Alligator mississippiensis: one gene and its partner. The main gene of each other region encodes a partner of the protein of the gene in region 2 in a complex. Links are inferred from orthologs where the notes say so. Each region holds a gene or a part of one and is shown on either strand. Other genes may lie near its edges.

Evidence for each region.
Region 1: CDHR5 (region 2) and ANKS4B share a complex: the UniProt entries of both Homo sapiens proteins name them as parts of the IMAC/intermicrovillar adhesion complex. The link is inferred for Alligator mississippiensis from reciprocal best matches to the Homo sapiens genes CDHR5 and ANKS4B.

Annotation. Positions count from the first base shown.
Region 1 is NC_081836.1:46,289,344-46,299,740, forward strand, and holds the start of ANKS4B (ankyrin repeat and SAM domain-containing protein 4B), read left to right. Parts: upstream 1-5,896; 5' UTR 5,897-5,921; coding exon 5,922-6,148; intron 6,149-9,557; coding exon 9,558-10,397. UniProt on the Homo sapiens protein: As part of the intermicrovillar adhesion complex/IMAC plays a role in epithelial brush border differentiation, controlling microvilli organization and length. Plays a role in assembly of the complex.
Region 2 is NC_081825.1:183,256,123-183,266,354, forward strand, and holds the start of CDHR5 (cadherin-related family member 5), read right to left. Parts: upstream 4,729-10,232; 5' UTR 4,607-4,728; coding exon 4,540-4,606; intron 4,348-4,539; coding exon 4,172-4,347; intron 4,036-4,171; exon of another isoform or gene 3,816-4,035; intron 319-3,815; coding exon 268-318; intron 1-267. UniProt on the Homo sapiens protein: Intermicrovillar adhesion molecule that forms, via its extracellular domain, calcium-dependent heterophilic complexes with CDHR2 on adjacent microvilli. Thereby, controls the packing of microvilli at the apical membrane of epithelial cells.

The DNA.
Region 1 (10,397 bases), on a different chromosome or scaffold from region 2:
TGTTACTCCACTACCTTCTTAAAAATGTTGTGAAGCAAAATGATGGCCTGTCAGTGGAGACAGAGGGGTTGATTAAGATTTTTTTTTAGCCATATTGATAATCAGGAGGAGCTGTGACCGACAGGAAGGGAGTTTAGTTTGAGGGAAAGCTCTCGCAGGGATGTGCCAAGCTGGTTCAGGATACATGTATATAGTGGCAATGGGCCATTCTGCTATGGCAATGGGCTCTGTCTAAAATCCTGAACTAGAGCAAATTAAAAGCAGCCTAATCCTAGCTGTAGTCAAGTCAATAGGGATTTTACTGGATTTTTTCTTTAGGCTACCATTTGGCCCAACTGTAGTCAGAGGTGCTTTTTGAGATCTTGAGGCCAGTATGTTACAGAAGATGTGCCAGATTTGACTCCAGGTCTCTCCATCATTTTCCTTATGGCAACTTTAGACCCATAAAACTATTTTTAAACAGTTAATTTGTTTTCTGAAAGGACAATTTGCAAAGCAAATGAATAGAACAAACCCTGGACCATTGACCTATGTTAGGATCATAGGAAAGTAGAACTGGAAGGGACCTCACAAGGTCATCTAGTCCAGCCCCCTGCTCAAGATAGGATCATGCCTGACTATGCCATCCCAGCCATGTGTCTATCCAACCTGCTCTTGAAAATTTCCAGGGATGGAGATTCCACCCAATGCAGTAGTATTTCTCTTTCCCTTCATTTGGTCAGCACAGCCTAAACCAGGGGTGGACAAAGTCCAGCCCACAGGCCGAACCAAGCCTGCAGCAGACTCCATTTCCCAGCAGTCTCTGCCCATGTCACTGCAGCTGGTTTCCATGGAGACTCCAGGAGCAGCAGAGCTGAGACAAGGTGAGGCCAGGGTTTCCATGGAGACCAACCCCAGCAGTGCTGGCTGGGCATGCGGCGGGGCGGGGAGCTGCTCCAGGGCTGGGATCTTGCAATAGTGACAGCGTGGTCCAGAGCTGGGGCAGAGCTGCAATCTGCTGCCAACGTGCCCCAGGCAGGGGTGTGCAGTCAGTGGATCGCAGCTCTGCCCTGGCTCTGGACCACACTGTCACCACTGCAAGATCCCAGCACCGACCCTGGAGCAGCTTCCCGCCCAGCTGCATGCCTGGCCAGCGCTGCTGGGGCTGGTCTCCATAGAAACCCTGGCCCCACACTGTCACAGCTCTGCCACTCCTGGGGTCTCCGTGGAAACCAGCCACAGTGACATGGGCGGGGAGTGCTGAAAAATGGAGTCCGGCTGCTGGCCAGATCCACCATTTTGCCCCCTTCCCCCCCCCCAGATCCCCCCGGCCTAAACTGATGGTTGCAAAAAATGTTTATACCTAAAGAAACCTGAAGAATCAAGTCTTCAGACAAGAACAATTAACCAAAGCTGATTGGCAACAAGGTTGAAATCCTACTTAACTTTTTATGAGAATTGCATAGTGCAAGAGGATGTAAGTTTGTGGCTGGACCTTCTGAAAAGAAATAATGAGGCACCACTTCCAGCTTATCTTACTGTATTTATGATGATTTTAAGAGGCTCCTATTTGTCTGGTATGTAACTGTATGAACTGTCTATCCTTGATTTATTAGAGACATTCTCCATATGGACTTTGATAGGTGCCTCCTCCTGATTTACTCTGGTTTTGCCTCAGTGGTTCCCTTGATCTTCGAAGGGCAACTCCTCCGAAGCTTTGTGTTTTTCTTGGTTGTTAATCAATTTTTGATACGTTCCAACTTAATAGAAATGGATAACCTCCTATTAGCGAGGAAGGTAATTCAATCAAAATTGGGACTTTCTGATAACCAATAATGAACAGTTTGATTAACAGGATTTTCCTGTTCATTACTGCTTGGGATTCTCTCTTGATTTACACAACTACAGGAATGCTTTTGAAGATGCTGAGCTAGAGGATGTGAAAGAGGAATGAAGCAGCTAACAGGAGAAATCATTCTGACAAGAGCTGCTGCTGTGCCCCGCTGATCGCCTGGTGAATGGATCCACACCTTGAGAAGCTGGCAAGGTTGAGACCACCTCTTTGCCTGTAATTAGTGAGAAACTATCACTTTTACAGCTAAATGTACTGGATTTTGCTTTGCTTTAGGCTCATTTAACAGTCAATACCTGTAGTAAATAATGCTTTTCTGTCATCCGTTGAATGAGTTGTCCTTCCAATCCTTTCTTTATACACTAGTCCTGAATCCCATTTCACTTAACAAGCATGAGCTAAACCCATCGATTTCAAATAGGAACTCATAGTGTCAAAAATAATCTGACCTGTTGTAGTCTGAGTTTTGTGCAAAAGAAAAAACGCTCTATTTTTTTACTGCAGTTAAAAAGGAGTGAAAGCAAAGAGCTGGCATTTGCAGAGGGGTTCCTTGAGTCTAAAAAGGTGAGAACCAATGTGCTAAAAAAACCCAAATATTGTGTGTGGGGAGGAGGACAAACGTAAGTGAATCACTGCTTCTGCTACCACAAAAACCTCTACATGTGCTGTTACATATTCCATGTGCTATGCTATGAGGAACACAGATATGTCAGGCTTTGGGCAATACCACTAAGGATTTCCTTAGATTCTACCTGAGTAGAAGTTATTGCTGGACAGTCTCAGCCAACATCTTGGATGTGGATTCATGCTCTAACCTCTCTAACTCCTAATGAGGCTGAGTCAGGGATGGTCAAGATTTCATATAGTACAAGGGACTTGAAGGACTGCAGCAAGAGTTTTGCCTGTGCAATGCAAGTAGGACCACGTATTGTTACATTGTCATTGATGGATGTAGCTGTAATTACTAAATGCAACTGGATTCATTAATCTTTTAACCTCTTAGTATTAACAGATCTCATTATACAAGCTGAGGGGGCTTACTTACCTCCTTTCATATGACATTCCCCATCCTGAACTTGCCATTTACAAAAGTGTAGTCAGGAACTAGTGTGCTATACCTCATGCAAAATAGATGGTACAATAACACCTCTGCCTTTCTAATTGGCATGATGCAAATCAGGGTTCTGAATTGCCTGCAACAAAATATCTAACTAACAATTCCATGGTCTTAGAATCCGACCATGTTGTGTATCTGCCATATTATATCTGTAAGAGCTAGGAAAACAATAAGCAGAGATGTTGAGAAATCCGTTAACAAATCAAGACCGTTAGTTAAATAATTCATTAGTTTAGAACAAGACATCCAACATCAGTGGAGTTTCTCCTGAGCCTGATGAGACATTTCAATTTGAAGTGGAATGGTTCTGAACTTTTTTTCAACACAAAAAGAAAAGCTCCATTCTAATTGCTCAGGAGACTTTGCAATTTTGAACTCGACTGTGAAAAGAAAATCTCCATTCAGGCTGACAAATTTAGCTCATTCAATGTTGAATCATTTATTATGTTTTAAGCTCTGGTTTTAAGATGGGGACAAAAACTAACAAACACCAGGGCTTTAGAAATAGATGGAAATGTGGTTTGATCTCTCTGTGCTGCCTGTTTTTGCGACAATCACAATAAGCCTTGTGACGTCCTGTACTTTCTTTCTTCCTGAAGCAGGTTTTGCTTTGCATTCAATTAAAATGTGCAACAAAAACAATTTCTTTTGAACATCAGAAGAAAAAAACATTCTTTTAAAAGTGGATCCTTTCATTTTAAGCAATAAAGATTACTTAGAGAATACTGTTTCTTACTGCAGAGGCTAGTAAATTTGTTTTTATAGGAGAAAATGATTTTGGAGAGAAAGGTAGAAAATTCTCTTTTGCTATTTCCCAGTTTTAAAACCGGCCAGGGATGTAGCTAACAATTTGAAATGCTGTTGCACAGAAGACAGTAATGACTCATCTCATGCTATACTTATGAGCTCATAAAATCACTAACAGCTTACAGCTATCCAATATCTACTAGCAGTATCTATTAAATTAGATATCCATGACAGTATTGAATACAGTAACAAAAATGCCAGAGCTCAAGGAATCTTGAATCCAATAAATTATAGCTTAATGCAGTATCATATATAGCATACGCTTCCATACAGCTGTGTTTTTTCTAGCATTTCCAACTTTGATCCAATAGCAAGGAGAACAGTGAATACAGTCACTGGAAAGGCAAGTCAATTTATTTTAAGTTTTTGGAAAAAAAACAATTTCTGGTAATTGATATTCACCCAGGAGGATGAAGAAAGGGGCATGGGTGTGTCTGGATACCATGTTCTGTTATAACACATGGTACACATGAACAACCAAGGTGGGTAGTAGCCACCCTGATCATACATTATTGCAATAGGTGGGTGGACTGCTATACAGGGCATAACAACATAATTTTGTCTTCAATACTTGTTCAGTTTAAGAGTGTTTATTACGGCATGAGTCTGGTCCTCTCTCTCTGTCAACACATGCAAACCTTGGCTCCTGAAGATTTCAGCCCCATCTGAAAAGATATTTGAGGTAGGAAACCTATTTGTAGGGGCATCACAGATGTAATATGGAAGGGATTGTGGAAAACAAATGAGACTTCACTGCATGCAGCAGTTATACTGATTCAAGTAAATACTGTTTTGTAATTGCTACTTCCACTCTAGCTGAGAGCATACCAAAGAATAAAAGGCTCCAAACGTCAAATCCTGTTAGTGCTAATTCTTGCCTGCATGTTGTGTAAAGTACTGGTTAAAGCAGTGAAATGTATAAAACACCACCGGGGAAAAAATAATGCTAAATGACAGGTATATTGATTGTAACCAAGACAATAGAAGGGCAATTTGGGGCTTTTTATTAAACAATCAGTCTTCCCACATCGATTTCTGCTTAGCTACTGCTTCAAAACTGACCTTTTACATTGACTTCAGTCTAGAATTCTTCTGTATCTCCAGGTTAGAATTTGGGCCCCATCCCGCAGGCTTTTCCTCGCACAGTGATCTTTATTCATACAAGTCAAGCCAAAGGTGCACTCAAGCCTAATGGCCCATAAAGCTAGTGTGATTCTAGCACTCCCGCTTCTGTAGCCAATACCACACAGGGCACAATGTGGTTGCCATCACATTTGGCCATTTTTGGCTCCCCAGCCTGAATGACCATGTTCCATTTGCAGCTGGGTCAATTGGACTGCAGCTCTAAGCAAATGTCCAGAAGGGGTCTCAAAACGTACGTTTCTTGAACCACAGTGAGATACTTTAATGGCTTTTCCCATCATACCCCTACTGTATTCTTACAGGCCATCCAGTTAAAATTAGGGGGACCATACCCCCAAGGGGAAGACCTCTTATTATGAGGATGGGGGACCGACTGGGAGGCCAAGCCCAGGACTATTGAATTTTATTTCTAGCTCTGCCACTAAATCACTTTGCTACCTTAGGCAAGTCATTAAAACTCTCTGCATCTCCCATTTGCCTGTCTGTAAAATGGGGATAGCAATACCTATTAGCATATTTCATATATGTAACACCCTTTAAGATCCTGAGATGAAGTGAGCTGTATGGTGAAAAATATCATTCATTTGGTTTTATTTTCACAGACAAGGTGAATTTGTTGTAATTAGCTAAGAATAAAAGACTGCATAGTCTGAAGTGTAGTGGCTTGTAATGTGTTCTGTTTCACCCACCCAGGGTTGGTTTTAACACAGAGTAGAATCTTGCTCATGCTGAAATCAATAGCAAAGCTCCCTTTGACTTCACCCCAACTGTGTAAGGAAGGGGAAGAGGGACATGTGGTTAGAGAAAGAATCCCCCTTAATTTTTAACTGTAAAATACTGGAGTTAAAAGCAAATGGACAGTCACTTCACAGAAAAGACACCTGTATAGCAGCTGCTTTAGTGAGGCGGTGTTCCAGGCAAGTTGTGTACTGGGATGAACTTTGCCTTTTTATTTCAATCCGGAAGCTGACATCTTGGCTTGTAATTATTAACTAACTATCCTGATAGCGAAAGTGTGGCTGCATGCACCTGCTAGAACTCGGAGTGAAACAGTGCCCCAGGACGCTGCTGTGGGATCTACTGAAAATGTCGACCAGGTATCACAAAGCAGCTGCTGACGGCAATCTGGACCTTTTGAAAGAAGCGACCAAAAAAGATCTCAATACTTCAGAAGAAGATGGGATGACACCCACCCTTTTGGCAGCTTATCACGGGCTTCTAGAAGCTCTGGAAGTCATATGCAGCAGAGGGTAAGTATAACAGGCCTCAACCTCTCAAAGCCGATGAAACAAAATTACAATTATCATGCAGCACCTTTTAATGCAAATACTGGTGCAAATGGGCAGTTTCTTGCTTTCTAAATTACTTGTTTTCTTGTGGGGGCTTTCAATCTTTATCATGTGTAGCTGCTTCATTTTTTTTCTATTGGTTGAGCCCAGTGGTATTCAACCGGCAGGCTGGATCGGGCAGAGAGAGTGAATCAGTCCTGTGCCACTCATCAGGTCCGCAGAGCCAGATGGATGGGGTGCTACTGGTTTAGGCCATAATCAAACAAGCTGCTCTGTACAAATCAGGCCCCGGTGCACTAGCATAGACTTACAGGCTTCTATGGCGTCTGAGCAATGTATAGTTTTAGAAACTAGGATGCAGGACTGCTGCTAGCGAGAGCTACAGGAGCTGCCATTTACTTCAACGGAAGTTGGAATACACCCTTAACTTTATAGTTTTGTAAATTAAAGTACATTTAATTAAAGTGTATTTAATAGCCTCCAGATAATTTTCAGAAGGAAACCAGAAAGAGCTGAATCTAAAAATGTGATTTTTCTGCTCTTGATAGCATTAGAAACTGAAGTTATGCCTGAAAAACAAATCTGTGCTTCTGCTGGAGCTGGTAAAATTTCAGGAAAAAAATGCAAAGGAATTAAATATAGACTAAAGGAGGTTTCTCTGATGTAGTTTTTCCTCACATTAATTATTAAATGCACCAGCACTATAGATAAATTATAAAAAGGTCATTCCCCTACTCTGGATTGCCCACTGTTTCCTCCAAGTCTTCTCTTTAGGCTGTCATCCTAGGGGTCTATTTCTTAGTGGAGTCTTCCACTGGGGAAAGAAGGGGACTAGAGCATTTTCACTTGGGGAAACCATCAAAGAGCAGAGGGCAGAAAACTAAGGAAAGATAAATACTTCTTTAGTTGTGTTTTGCCCTTCTGCAAAAATAGAAAAAAAGTTCCCTGTACATGGTAAGTGTAATAGGTAGATGCCCCTCTTAGCTTCTTGATCTAAGGTGTGGCTATAGAAACACCTGACTGCCAATAAAAGAGACCTTTAGACTATATAGCTATTGCTATAACCTTAGGAAAAGCAAAAAACAGAAGCCAGATTCTAAATTGGTACAAAACAATATGTAATTCCAGTGATGTTGCTGAAGACATTGGAGATCTGGCTTATAATTTAGGAAAAGATAAAAAGGGAAAATTAACTAGTTAAGAAAAATAAATAGAGCAAGATAACGTGTTCCCAGGTTCCACGGTCTTATATACACCAGTGCCAATCACAAAATAGGGCACAGAGCACAAGGATTTCCACAGAGCTGTATTCTCTATTCATTAGTTACACTAGTTTATTTAAAATTGGTATCAGCTTGGTACAGGACAGCATCCAAAAGCTTCAAACCTTTATTACTGATGATTTCCTGAAAGCTTTCATTTTAACCTGAGACTCCTTAACTTTGAGAGTCAGAGAAACTGGTCTAAATCTCAGCAATGTTTGTTTGGGTCTTTGGAAGAAGCTGCATTTTGGAAGATTTTCAAACAATGCCCCTGGCTGATGGGGCTTTCAAGAAAAAAAATTGACTTATTATTTCTAATACGTGCCTCTTTTCCTTAAAGCAAAAGGAAGGAACACCCAGTAAGGGAATGACATGGGACCCGGGAAAACTGGGTTCAGGTCTGTGCTCCACCCCAGAACTCCTGTGTAACCACAGGCAAGGCACATTAGCTGCACAAAAGTCCTTGGGTATGCAAGTGTGATTAGCATAAGGGATTTCTAAGACCATTCAGCTGCCCCATTACCATGGACACACCTAAACTTCTTACTTATGTATGTATGAATACATTTGATTTATATACTGCCCTTCCAAAAAAGCTAAGCTCAGGACCACTTTCAATCCAAAACAAAACGACACATAAAAACAGAACAAAGTATTACGTTGGTCAGTGTGACAAACTAAGCCTTCCCCAATCCTCCCACTCCCTGCCTCGCATCCAGGAGTCCCCTCCCCCTTCCCATAACGTCCCTCTGAAGCTCATCCCTCTCTCACCTGGCGGGGTTGTTCCCCAAACCCGCTCATTCTCCCCTTCCTCCCAAAGAAGCACATTATTCAGTTTATAACCAGAAATACAATGCCTGCCCCTGCCCCATCCCTGCTGAAATGTGATACCAAAGGGGACCACTGAGTGTTGCCCTTTGGTAGCACCTACCCAAAGGCACCCTGCAGTCCCCTTAAAGCCCACTAGCTGGCTGGGCTCTTCCCCTTTCCAGCTCAGGCATCTGCAGAGTCAGTGTCTGCTCCAAGTCTCAGTCCTCCCCTACTCTGGACTTGGCTTCCAGAGCAGGTGGCAGAGAGATCAGCATCCCCTGAACTGTGGGTTGCGGCAGTCCATAGGAAGCCTGGGAGGCCAGCAGAAAGAGTAGTCTTTAGCCAAGGGCAGCATGCAGTCCCTATGAATCTCTGCTTTTCAAATCCCAGGAGTATTTTGGGGGAAGGGTTAGGAATAGCAGTTTAAGCAGCAGCTGAAGAAAAACTATGGCTTCTGCCTGAACATTACCTAATTATAGTAGACATGGAGACTTAGGCCTTTTTTCTTAATAATTTACTTATTACCCATTGTGAAAGTTGCTGTTATTACCACACAAACTATGTCCTGAGGCAGTCAAATGCAGAGGTTTCCCACTGTTCCTGCATTTTACATCAAAGAAAGAAAGGCTGATCTCAGTAGCTTTTAAAATACCGTGGGTGAAATCCCAGTCCCGCTGAAAGCAGTAGAAGTTTTGTCATTGATGTCATGAACTATAATCTAGAGTCTGATCCTGCTTCTCTTGAAGTCGATTGTAAAATTCTCTGCATTGCCCAGCTGAGGCACCCCACCAGGCTTTCAAGGTGAGGGAGGCAGGCAGGGGGAAGGGAGGGAGTAATCAATTGATGGCCTGTATCAGGAGAAAATAATTACCCCTGTTATGGCTGTCATAAATTCAACCTGCTAGAAGGGGCAGTATGCACTCATCCATTCCTTGCCCTCCACTTGGGGTAGGTGAATGAAGCAGCACAGTCCCTGAACCCAAGACCCAAAAAGCTCAAAGGATAAAGGATATTTGTTCTTGTTCTTCTGTGTGGTTGGAATGCGACTTTGGCTGCAGGCCCAAAGCGCTAGCTCAGTTTCATACAGAATTGGTGATGGGACTTGAACTAGAGCCAGATTCAGCCCTGATGTAAGTAGGTAAAAGTATATTACAGGCCATAACCCTCTGTCCACATTTCTTCACTGGAACAGCATCCGCTTATCCCAGATTTGAACTTGGCCCTCAATGCATCACTGTGGCAGGCACTTATGTTTGAGATGTATTTGATGGACCTGACTCTGATGTTTTGCTCCTTAGTGGCGACCCAGACAAATGTGACATCTGGGGAAACACTCCGCTCCATCATGCTGCTTCCAATGGTCATATCCACTGTCTCTCATTCTTGATTAAGTTTGGTGCCAATATATTTGCTCTGGATAATGATATGCGCACTCCGCTGGATGCAGCTGCCAGCAGGGACCAGCATGAATGTGTCAGACTCCTGGACAAAGCTGCTACTGAACAGACCATAATGAATGCCAAGAGGGTCTCCAAACTCAAGGCCCAGGCTCAGAAGAATGCAGAGAAACAAATCAAGGAATGTGAAAAGCGCCAAGAGAAGCACCAACATGAAATGATGAGGAATTATAACAAAGAAAAGCTTGGATCAGTAAGTTCTGCCAAAGGGACAGCTTCCAGGATGAAGGTGCCCGATTTCTTTGTTCCCAATACATCAGGCACCTTCTCCAAAAGCCTGAAGGACACCTTCAGACTGAAGGCAAAAAAGAAAGATGAAAACATAGCTGATAAGGATGCACAAAAGAGTAGCCAAGAGGAGGAAGGCAAGGTTGCGCGTATGGGTGTAATGGATGTATTCAATGAAAAAGATGAGGATGAATTCTTAAATTACTCTAAAGGGAGAAACATTTCTGAAGAGGATAGCCAGCAGGAGCATATGTCAATTTTCCAACGGCCAGGTCTGGGCAAAATTGTGTTTGGAAGGAATTTGGCAGCAGACATAAATGCCAAAGAGATGTCCTTTGAGAAAGAAGGAATACGATTTAAAATATCTGGTGAGTTTTTTCAACAGAGGGAGTCTGAAAATGGAAGTGAGCTAGCCACTGAAAATGATCTTGATGTCCCTTGGAATGAGGAAGA
Region 2 (10,232 bases):
GAGGACATGGCTTGAGGATGAACTAGCTGGATGCTAGAATTTTAGACTAAATCATGGAGTGGGTTTGGATTTGGACGATGGCTCTGAAATCTTGTGGATGGTCTGGGATTTTCCTTTTTCCATGACAAGTAAATGCTTTAAGCATGAGAAACCCACAACCCTTGTGAAGGATTGTCAATTAAGAAGAAACTTAATGCCAGCATTCAGTGTTGCTTACTACTATCTAATAATAACTAATATAGCAGAATTTTTAGAAATGATACTTACTTGTACATTCCCTTGAGTGCAAAGCAGGGTTAAAATGTATATATCTTGTTTCTGTGTTAACAAAAAAAATCACAACAAAGCAAAACAGTCAGTTGAAAAACATTAAAAAGCACATAAGTGCCATTTACTGGCATAGCCAAGTATCCTGTCACACTGTGGCAGAACAGGGCAAGTTGAGAAGTTTCCCCTCCCTGCCGCTCTCCCACTGCAGCTTCCGGCATTCTGAGAGGCTTAGGGAGCGCTTATTCAGAGGCTGCATGGCTGTCTACCATGCTCAATACCTATGCATGGATACTTCCTCCAAGAATTGGTCCAATCCTCTTCTGAACTGGGTTAAGGTACCAGCTGTCACATCATCCTGTGGCAACCAGTTCCACAAGTTAATGATATGCTCTCTGCAAAAGAGCTTCTTTTTGTTAGCTTTAAATCTATTATCTAATAATTTCCTATTATGTTCCCTAGTTTTAGCATTGTGAATGGTAATAAATAACAAATCCCTATTTACCGGTATTGTAACTTCGGGCAGATGCCTAGGGCACCAGTCCCAGGGGCTATCTTAGATAGGGTGCCAGATTTGCCTTGCACCCCAGGAATTTTTGCCAGAGCAGGGATAGCCCCCACAGGAGCCCAGCAGGGACAGCCCCTCACCCAGTACCGTATTTTGGAGGGTAAGAAGTTAATGAAGTGGTGCTCCCCCTTACACCCTAGGGAGTCTTTGCCATGGCAGGTGCAGCCCTGCCCCCTGTAGTATATCTGGGCAGGGAGGAGGAGTAAACAGGAAACTAGGAGTGACTCCTAGGGAGTCCACTGCTGTAGCTGGTCTGCAACTGATCTGAATAATCCCTTCCTCCTGCCCTAGGTGCTGAAGGAGCTCACTACGCCTCTACTATTTTCTTTCTCTGCACCATTTAATATTTTGTAAACCTCTGTCATGTCTTCCCTCAAGCATCTCTTTTCCAAGCTGGGAAGTCCCAGCCTATTTAGTCTGTCCTCATTTGAAAGCCCTTTCTCAGATCATCCTTGTTGCCCTTCTTTGTAGCTTTTCTCATTCTTCTATATCCCTTGTGAGGTGTGCAAACCAAAACTGTGCGTATTATTCAAGGTGAGGATACACCATAGATTTATTAAGGGGCATAATAATACTTTTTAGTTTGTTTACAATTCTCTTTTTAATAACTCTGAACATTTCATTTTTTCTTTTTGACAGCTGCTGGACATTGAGCTAGTGCTTTTAGCAATGCTAGAATTTCAGTGACACCAAGATCTCATTCCTGTGTGGTAACAATTAATGTAGAGCCCATCATGATGCATGTATATTTTGGGTTATTTTATCCCATGTGCATCACTTCGTGCTTATCAACATTGAACTTCATTTGCCCTTTTGTTGCCCATTTGCTCAATTTTATGACAAATTTCTGTAGTTCTTCACAGTCCACTTTGGCCTTTACCATTCTGAATAATCTTATGTCATTGGCAAACTTGGCCATTTTACTACTGATCCCCTTTTCCAGGTCACTTACAAATATTTTAAACAGCACTTGTCCCAACACAGATCCCTGCAGGGCCCCATTGTTTACTTCTTTTAATTCTGAAAATTGACTGTTTATCCCTACTTTCTGTTTTTTTATCATTAAGCCAATTTCAGATCCACAAATGGACATTCCCTCTAATCATATGTCAACCTACTTTTAAGAGCCTTTGATGTAGGACTTGGTTGAAGGTTTTTTGGAAGTTCAGATATACTATATCAACTGGACTACTGGATTTCCCTGATCCACATTCTTGTTGAAACACTTGGAGAACTCTAGCAGGTTGGTAAGATATAACCTCCCTTTACAGAACCAGGCTGATTTCTCCCTGGCAAGGCCTGCTTGTCCATATGCTGAACAATACTTGTTTAATTATTGCTTCTACCATTTTGCCAGGAACACAAGCTAGATGTATTTCCCCAAGTCCTTCTGGAGCCTTTTTAAAAATTGAAATTACATTGGCAACTCTCCTGTTCTCTGGTACCAAAGCTGTTTTTAGTGGCAGATTGTATATTTAGCAAGTAGATCAGCTATTTCAGATTTGAGCTCCTTCAAGACTCTAAGGTAAATACCATCAGGTCCTGGTGATTTCTTCCTGTTTAGTTTATTAATATCTTCTAAAATGTCATCTACTGATACCTCAATGTGAATCAGTTCTACTGACCTGTCCCCTGGGCTCTGGTGAGAGAATCTACCCACCATCTTCCCCAGTAAGGCTGATACAAGGAACTCATTTAGGCTGTATACAGATGTGTTGTTCTGACTCAGGACTGATTACCCAGAGGTATGACTTGAATCAAAACAGGAGCTGCACAGTCATATACACATGTAGCCTTTCCAAGATGCATTGCTGCCTTTTCAGTAGTAGGTGGCCAGCAAGAGCACACAGCCCAAGAGACTGGAATGAACTGTCATAATCGTACAGATGTACAATAGGGTATCCTGGGGAAAAAAGTGTTAGTACATTTTATCTGCCTACTGCAGAGGGACCTGAAGCAGGACAGCAGACATGTACTTCTGTACAGTCCCAGAACAAAAGACTTTCTCCCGTGACAAATGCTACATCTGTGCATAACTTCCATTTCTCAACAATAGCCTTGTCCTCTTTAAGCATTTCTTTTACACCCTCATTATCCAGTAGCCCAACTAAGTCTCTGGCAGACTTTCTTCCTCTAATGTACTTAAAGAAAGCCTATGCTTCAAGTAAAATAAGAGAATACGTGCTTTGATCAGTTAGGGCCTCCAGGATCCTTTTGTTAAATTAAAAATGATAGGGATTTTTCCTTTCCTTTTACAGGTTTCCAATTAGTTTCTGATCTCAGTACCATGACTACCAACTTGAAATAATTCCACCGTTTTCCAAAAAATTGTTTCACCTTTACAGAGGTATAAAACAGATCAGAGACCATCCTTACATATGAGAGTGAACTGAGGAGCTCTCTATGGTGGATGTGTGTGAGAGAGAGAGAGAGCGAGCGGTCTTAGAAGCTTTGCAGGTTTTCTGTTTAACAGATACCAATTGCTGCAATTACATCCATTATGAGGACCAATTGCTTGTCTAACTCCCCCGTACAACTGATGCCCCCCTGGCTGTAATGTGGAATTTTGTCTACAGGGAGATCTGAAGTAGATTCAGGCAAGCTAAAATGGAGATTTTAATTGAATGGGATGACAATGAATCATACAGCAAATACAGACGGGGGGCCCCAGGTGTTTATTTTTAGATTCAATTTATTATTGTGCAACATGCCGCAGAGTTTAATTTTACATCTGAAAAAACATGGCTATGTTGGAAAAGCTGTTGCTGGGAGCAAGGTAAAGCTTGTACAGGACGGGGGAGTTATAGCTGGGTAGGAAACTGACCCTTGACTCCTGAGGAGGAGAGCTTGGCATGATCCCAGTGGATGGATCGTAAACTAATTAGCTGGGAAATAGTTAACAAGATTGAACATTTACATTTCAAAATGGAAAGGCCGTGGAAGGGAACAGGATTTTTTTTTTTTTACATGCTAGCTTTATTTGACAAATGCACACAGACCAGACGTGCACATGGACCAGCTGCTTGGGTTCAGAACTCCACTGACTCGACAGATTTCCACTTAAGAACCCATATCTTGCTCCATTAAGCAACATGCCTTATGCCCTTCCTGGAGTGGATTTCTAACAAGACAGTAGTTGGGCCAGACTTGTACATGCAGGTTCCCTGCTTAGGCTATTAAAGCTCAGAGAAACTGAAAAGGTAGGCGCCATTTTAAAAAGCTTCACTTGCTACGACTGACAGAGCCATTGGACTGTCACAGTAAAAAGTACATTATAGAAAGTGTTTTGCAATGTTAAATTAGCTGATATTTGCCTTTTTTCATTTAATAACTTACCTCATAGTCCAAGGAACAGCTTAGAATCAGTTCTGTGTCACGAATGGAGAAGCAATTTCCATCCGCTGTGGGACTGATTGTTACTGTGATACCAGCAGCCTTTGTAATGTTGGTCACCACTAAGCCAGCAGAGTTATTTTCTCGTACCAATGGCTTGGCATTATTTACAGAGCATCCTGAAAAAAAGGCACAATATTTCCGTCAGACACAGGAATTGCCAAACTGGATCAGATCTAAGGTGCATTTACTCCAGCAGCTAGTCTCCAGCTGTGGCTGATGCCTTGGAAGAAGGCATTCAACATCCTGAGGTAGGCAACCAAGGAGATTTTTCACTTTCATCCATCCGGACTCCAAAGGCATTGACTTACCTTGGCTCTGTATTAGGGGTAGCAGCAGAAAGAGTACGTAGGCAGAGAGCCGATGAGAAACAGCCATGGCGCAGACGGCAGAAAGCAAAGGGAAACCCTGGCTGTGGGTGGAGCACTCCTGCCTCTTTCCTCCCTTGGAGTCAGCAGTACTTTGTCATCCATTTACTCCTCCGAATGGTGGTGAAGAACATTGCATGGCTGGCACTAATTCCCAACTGTTGCCGCTCAACCTTTGCCTCCTTGCCCTATTGGATGAATCATTTATGATTCATTTACCGGTACCTGGGTACTGGGTGTGATGAGCAGTAAACGCCGCAGCTCTTCTGTGGCTCTTTGTCCTCTGATTCTTAACTCTTGCAGGGACTGTGAGAAATTCCACATCTTTTAAGATTAGATGCAGAATGTCCCCGAATAAGTGTGGAAGCAGGGTGCTTGTTGACCCCTAAAAAGCTGTCTGCTTGTCCTGACCTCTCCAGTCATGGGCACCGTATAATTACCAAGTGTGTGTGCTACGATATATACCAAGCTAATGATGTGGGTTAACTTTGCACCTCGTACGTACCTGTTCTTGATGAGAATATTTCTTGGTAGACTTAATAGTGATTCAGGCCAACCTTAGCTTGCTTCTCCCCATGCATTATTCTATGCCAGCTGTGTTTGGTCAGCTCTGTTCTGGCGCAAGCCCTGTTCTCCCTGTTGGCTTTGCTCTTTCCCTGCTCCTAATCAGACTATATATTGCATTGCTCACTGGAAGCTAAAGGTAAAGCGTAACAACTGCAATAGAAGGAGAAGGTAGAATGGTCTGGGACCAGGGGGTAGAACTCCTGCTTTCTGCTCAGGCTAGGCATTAGCATGCCTGCATACTCTTGCTGTCCCTACCACTGATGTCTCCTGTGCCCTTGTGCAAGTCATCTGTGCCTTACTTTTTTCTTCTATAAAATGTTTCTTTTTCAGAGGGATATTAGGAAGCCTATGCTTTAAAAACATGACTACTGGTGTTTGGTACACAGATTTTTGGCCATCCAACCCCTATGACAGCCTGATATATCTATATCTATATAGCTAGATATATAGCTATATAGATATAGCTAGATATATATAGATATATATTTTCCAAAGGGATCAGCACTTTGTGAAGATTGGAGTCCTTTGAGGAACTTCTAGCCGGGCAGCTAACATTTCTTGTCATTTGTAAAGACAGAGGGCACCATGGGTGCAAAGTGTTCTGCTATTCACAGATAACAAACAGTGCAAAAGTCAAAGTATTATAATTCTGTTGCAAGGAGGTTTTCCTTTTGTCTCTCTTTCAAGCTACTGGAGCATGAAGAAGTTAGGAGTTGATGTGTATTCCGTATGATCATAAGCCATGTCAGAACTGAACTAGGGGTGGTTTTACTGAGATACTATTTAACTAGAAAGGTACAGTGGAGGAATAGGTGCTAAACATCTTATTAAAAGGGTCATTGGGGAAGAAGATGAAAATCTGGGGACTGTAGCAGAAGAGTGTATATAGTCTGTTGATGAACACGCCTTGCTAAAGAGCCATTTTGGGGAGCTAGAACAGAAAAATGAAGAAGGTTGGGTCTGTGTGTTTTTACTGGGACTTAGGAAATCTGAGTTCTGTTTCTGGCTCTCACAGATTCTTGGTGTGTCCTTTTAATTAAGTCACTCTGTGCCTCAGTTCTTCTACCTGTGAAATGGGGATGTTGTATTTTGTTTGTCAGGTTTATTTAAATTATAAGCTCTTAGGTATAGAGACTGTTCCTTATTCCGTGCGTGTATGTGTGCACACACACATCTGTGCATGTGTCTCTGCACATACAGCAGCAAGCACCTTGAGGCCTGGATTTCAGACAAAATCCATAGGTCCTCCATCCTGCAAAAGGGATCCTGGAAATGATTCTTTCTTTTCCCTACTTGACATCAAAGTTTCATTTGATCATGGGAAGTCTTTCCTAAGAGAAAAGTTGCAGCAGCACTCTAGTGCCTCAGCCTTGAAGGTTTGCAAAGCTTATATTATACCCCATTTCCCTCTTTCAGGATGTGTGAGTGTCAGTAAGCTCTGACTCCTTTTGATGTTTCTTTGTGTGACATATTGACAAAAGATATTTGAAAGTATTGATTGCTCGGGTGATAAGGTCACACAGCAGCTTGGCTTCTTTGTATGATTTAATTTAGCAGTGGAGCAAGCCAGATACCACTTTCAGAGTTAGCTTCTTGGACTACATGTACACGCCACGAGATTTGCCCTTTAGGACACTGCAACTGGTTTTGCTTGCACGAATGGGATTTCCTGCAGTTTTTAAAAGTCTTTTCAGCGCATTAAAATAAAACTCCTGGGACATAGTTTAGTTTGTGTCACCACCGATTACATCGCCGTAGCTATGGATTCATTGCGTGCAAACACAAAAGCACTCAAAGATGACCTTCATTGTCCACCGATGGCGCTGCAGCTTTTTTGTAGTTCACCCCTTTGTGCACCAGAGGGTGCTTTGAACTGGCACGAGGTGGCAGCCCCATCCCAGTGTTGGGGGGTCACGGGGCTGCAGGTCAGGAGCGAAGGGCACTGGCAACGCTGGGGTGGCAGGGTGTTGGGCTGAAATTTGAGCCCTACTCTTTTGTGGACAAGGAGAACAATGTGATTAACTATCAGCACTTGTTTGATAATTAGTTAGAAGCTTTACTGATTACAAAATTATCCATTAAACACAAAGCAACTAAACAACTGGGGTTGCCAGTATACAAGTAGTCAACTTTACTGGGATTGCCAAAATATAAACAGGCAGTTGTCAAAAACCGAGTGTGTTAACGTGGCTCCTTACCGCATCACAGTCTGTTTAGAGCTGTTACTCAGGAGGCATTCCCCTCTGTCAGTCGTACTGGGTGAGCTTCCTGGGTTGCGATCTTCCAAACCTGAAGGCTTGGTCTTCCTTTAGAAATCCATGCCGGTCCCTCCCTCAAAAATCCATGAAGGTGATTCAAACAGCGAATGGTGATTTTACTTGCTTAGGCTATTTAATAGGGGTGTGCAAAATGGGTTGTATTTGATTTGGATTCGGCCTGAATCGGGGGACAGTGATCAATTCATTGATTTGCATCACTGTCTCAATTCAATTCGTCTGAATCCAAATATGAAGATTCGATGCTGATTCAGAGAATCAGCAATTCGGCCATGGACACAGCTTTATATGTTGGGTTTTTTTCCTACATACCTCGAGGTACCAGGTGCGGCTCGTGGATGGTGGAGTGGATGGAGCATGGGGTGGATGGAGCATCCTACAGGAACATGGAGAGGGCCCCCCCAGGTGCTTGGCAGCGGACCTGGAAGTGGACCAGAAGTACTTCTGGTCCACTTCCAGGTCTGCTGTCAAGTGCACAGGTGCCCCCACCAGACCCAGGAGGCACCAGTCGCCAAGCTAAGGGGCAGAGCAGGGGGTCCCCTGCACGCTCCACGGCGGACCTGGAAGTGGACCGGAAGCACTTCTGGTCCACTTCCAGGTGCACCACTGAGCATGCTGCAGACTCCCCTGCACTCCTATGGGGCGCTCCATCCTTCCCAGCATTCACAAATTGCCTGGTACCTTGAGATATGTAGAAAAAACATTTAAAGCTGTGTCTATGTCTGAATCATTGAATCTCTCTGAATCAATTTTGGAGGGTTCTGATTCAATTCGGAGAGATTAAAGGGTCTCCTGATTTGATTTGTATTTGGAGATTTGGCCACCAAATTGGGCTGAATCTCCGGTGAATCAAATTGGTGACTGAAGCTTCTCACAGCCCTACTATTTAAACCTTTAGTGATGTCACCATTACTAAGGCTAGCCAAGCTTGATTATATAATATTTTGGAAGCTTTATAATAGCATAGCCTTAACGCACCTGGAATATTTTCCTGTTCCCACACTAATTAGTTGCAATGATCACAACGTTGTTTTAATTTCTGGTTCCATTGTTCCATTGTTCTGGATGTTCCTTGACATTCATTTTACTGGGGTTAACTTTAGGCCACAATTATTGCCAGCTCTTAACTGAATTGTCTCGAAAAGGTTTCTGGGAATTCAGTCAACTGTCAGAGCCTAGTGGTTGAGTGCCTCAGCACAGTGGAACTTTCTAGCACAAGGCACGGTGAGATTTTGTACGAGGGAATTTCTCGGCACAGTGGAGAGCCCCGGCGTGGAAAGGTTCTCGCCACTCATATGCAAATTCACTTGGCCGGTTCTAAATTATTCCTATGTGGCGACTAGCAATTGGCTCGCTAGCCGTATAAAAGGTTGGAGCGGTTTCCGCCCAAGTTGGAGAACTCCGCGCCCATCTCGGAGTGAACATGGCAGACTGATCAACTGCCGCCGACTCCCCATCGCCGACCGACCCCGACGTACCCCCATGTCCTGAATGCTCGTATTAAAGATATCTCGTCTTATCAGAGCTCCTCGGTTAAACTGAAACTGAAGTTTGAAGTTAACTTTCTTCCTACGCTGTACATCTCGACAGTGTAAGTAAAGCCATCTTTGTTTGAACCAGTACGCGTTTGTGCCTAATTCTACTCCAGCGGTCGAAAGTACCCATCTGTACGTGCTGGGTTTGTGGCCACAACCCAGCCGACCCTTTCCTGGATCCCCCTCAGCCCCCACATCAACTTGACGTGACCAGATTTGATTTTATTTATTTATTTATTTTTGCAACACCTACCCTCCTTGGTAGCTAGGAAAACCTTTTCCATTGCTACCACTTACTCTTTTGTCCTGGCTATTGTACTCAAGGCAGTTGGGGCCACCAACTCCGAGTGTTAGATTTTCTGCCAGGCACATTAGAGTTTTTTTTAATGTGGATAGGGAAGTAAAAGTTGCTTATGAATTTTCTCCTTCTGAATTTGTTTTCGAATGATTCGTGCCAGTTGGTGCACTTAGACTACAATGTCAGACCCTACAACGTCAGACCAACCTGATTGCCTTTTAAGATCAGGTCACAAAAGCATTGGATACAGGTGTCGCAGTGGATGTAGTCTTTCTGGGCTTCAGCAAGGCCTTTGACACTGTCAACCACCCCATCATCATTAAAAAACTAGGCGACTGGCATCGATGCCTACACAGTCAGATGGATTGTGAATTGGCTGAAGGGTCATACTCAGAGAGTGGTGGTGGACGGGTCATATTCGACCTGGGGGGAAGTGGGCAGTGGAGTCCCCCAGGGCTCGGTCCTTGGGCCCTCACTGTTCAATTTCTTTATCAGTGATTTGGACGATGGGGTGAAAAGCAACCTGTTCAAACTTGCTGATGATACCAAAATTTGGGGTGAGGTGGGCATACTAGCAGGGAGGGAAAGACTGCAGAAAGACCTGGATAGGTTGCAGGGGTGGGCTAACAAAAACAGGATGTGTTTCAATATGGACAAGTGCAGGGTGCTGCACGTGGGCAGTAGTAACCGGCAGCACACTTATAAGATGGGAAACTCCCTTCTTGAGAGCACGGAGGCAGAAAGGGATCTTGGAGTCATCACTGTTTTCAAGATGAACATGGGCCGACAATGTGAGGTCACAGTTGGCAGGGCTAACCGGACCTTATCGTGTATCCACAGGTGCATCTCAGGTAGGTCCAAGGAAGTGATCCTCCCCCTCTACATGACACTGGTCAGGCCACAGCTGGAGTACTGTGTCCAGTTCTGGGCACCCCACTTCAAGAGGGTTGTGGACAACAT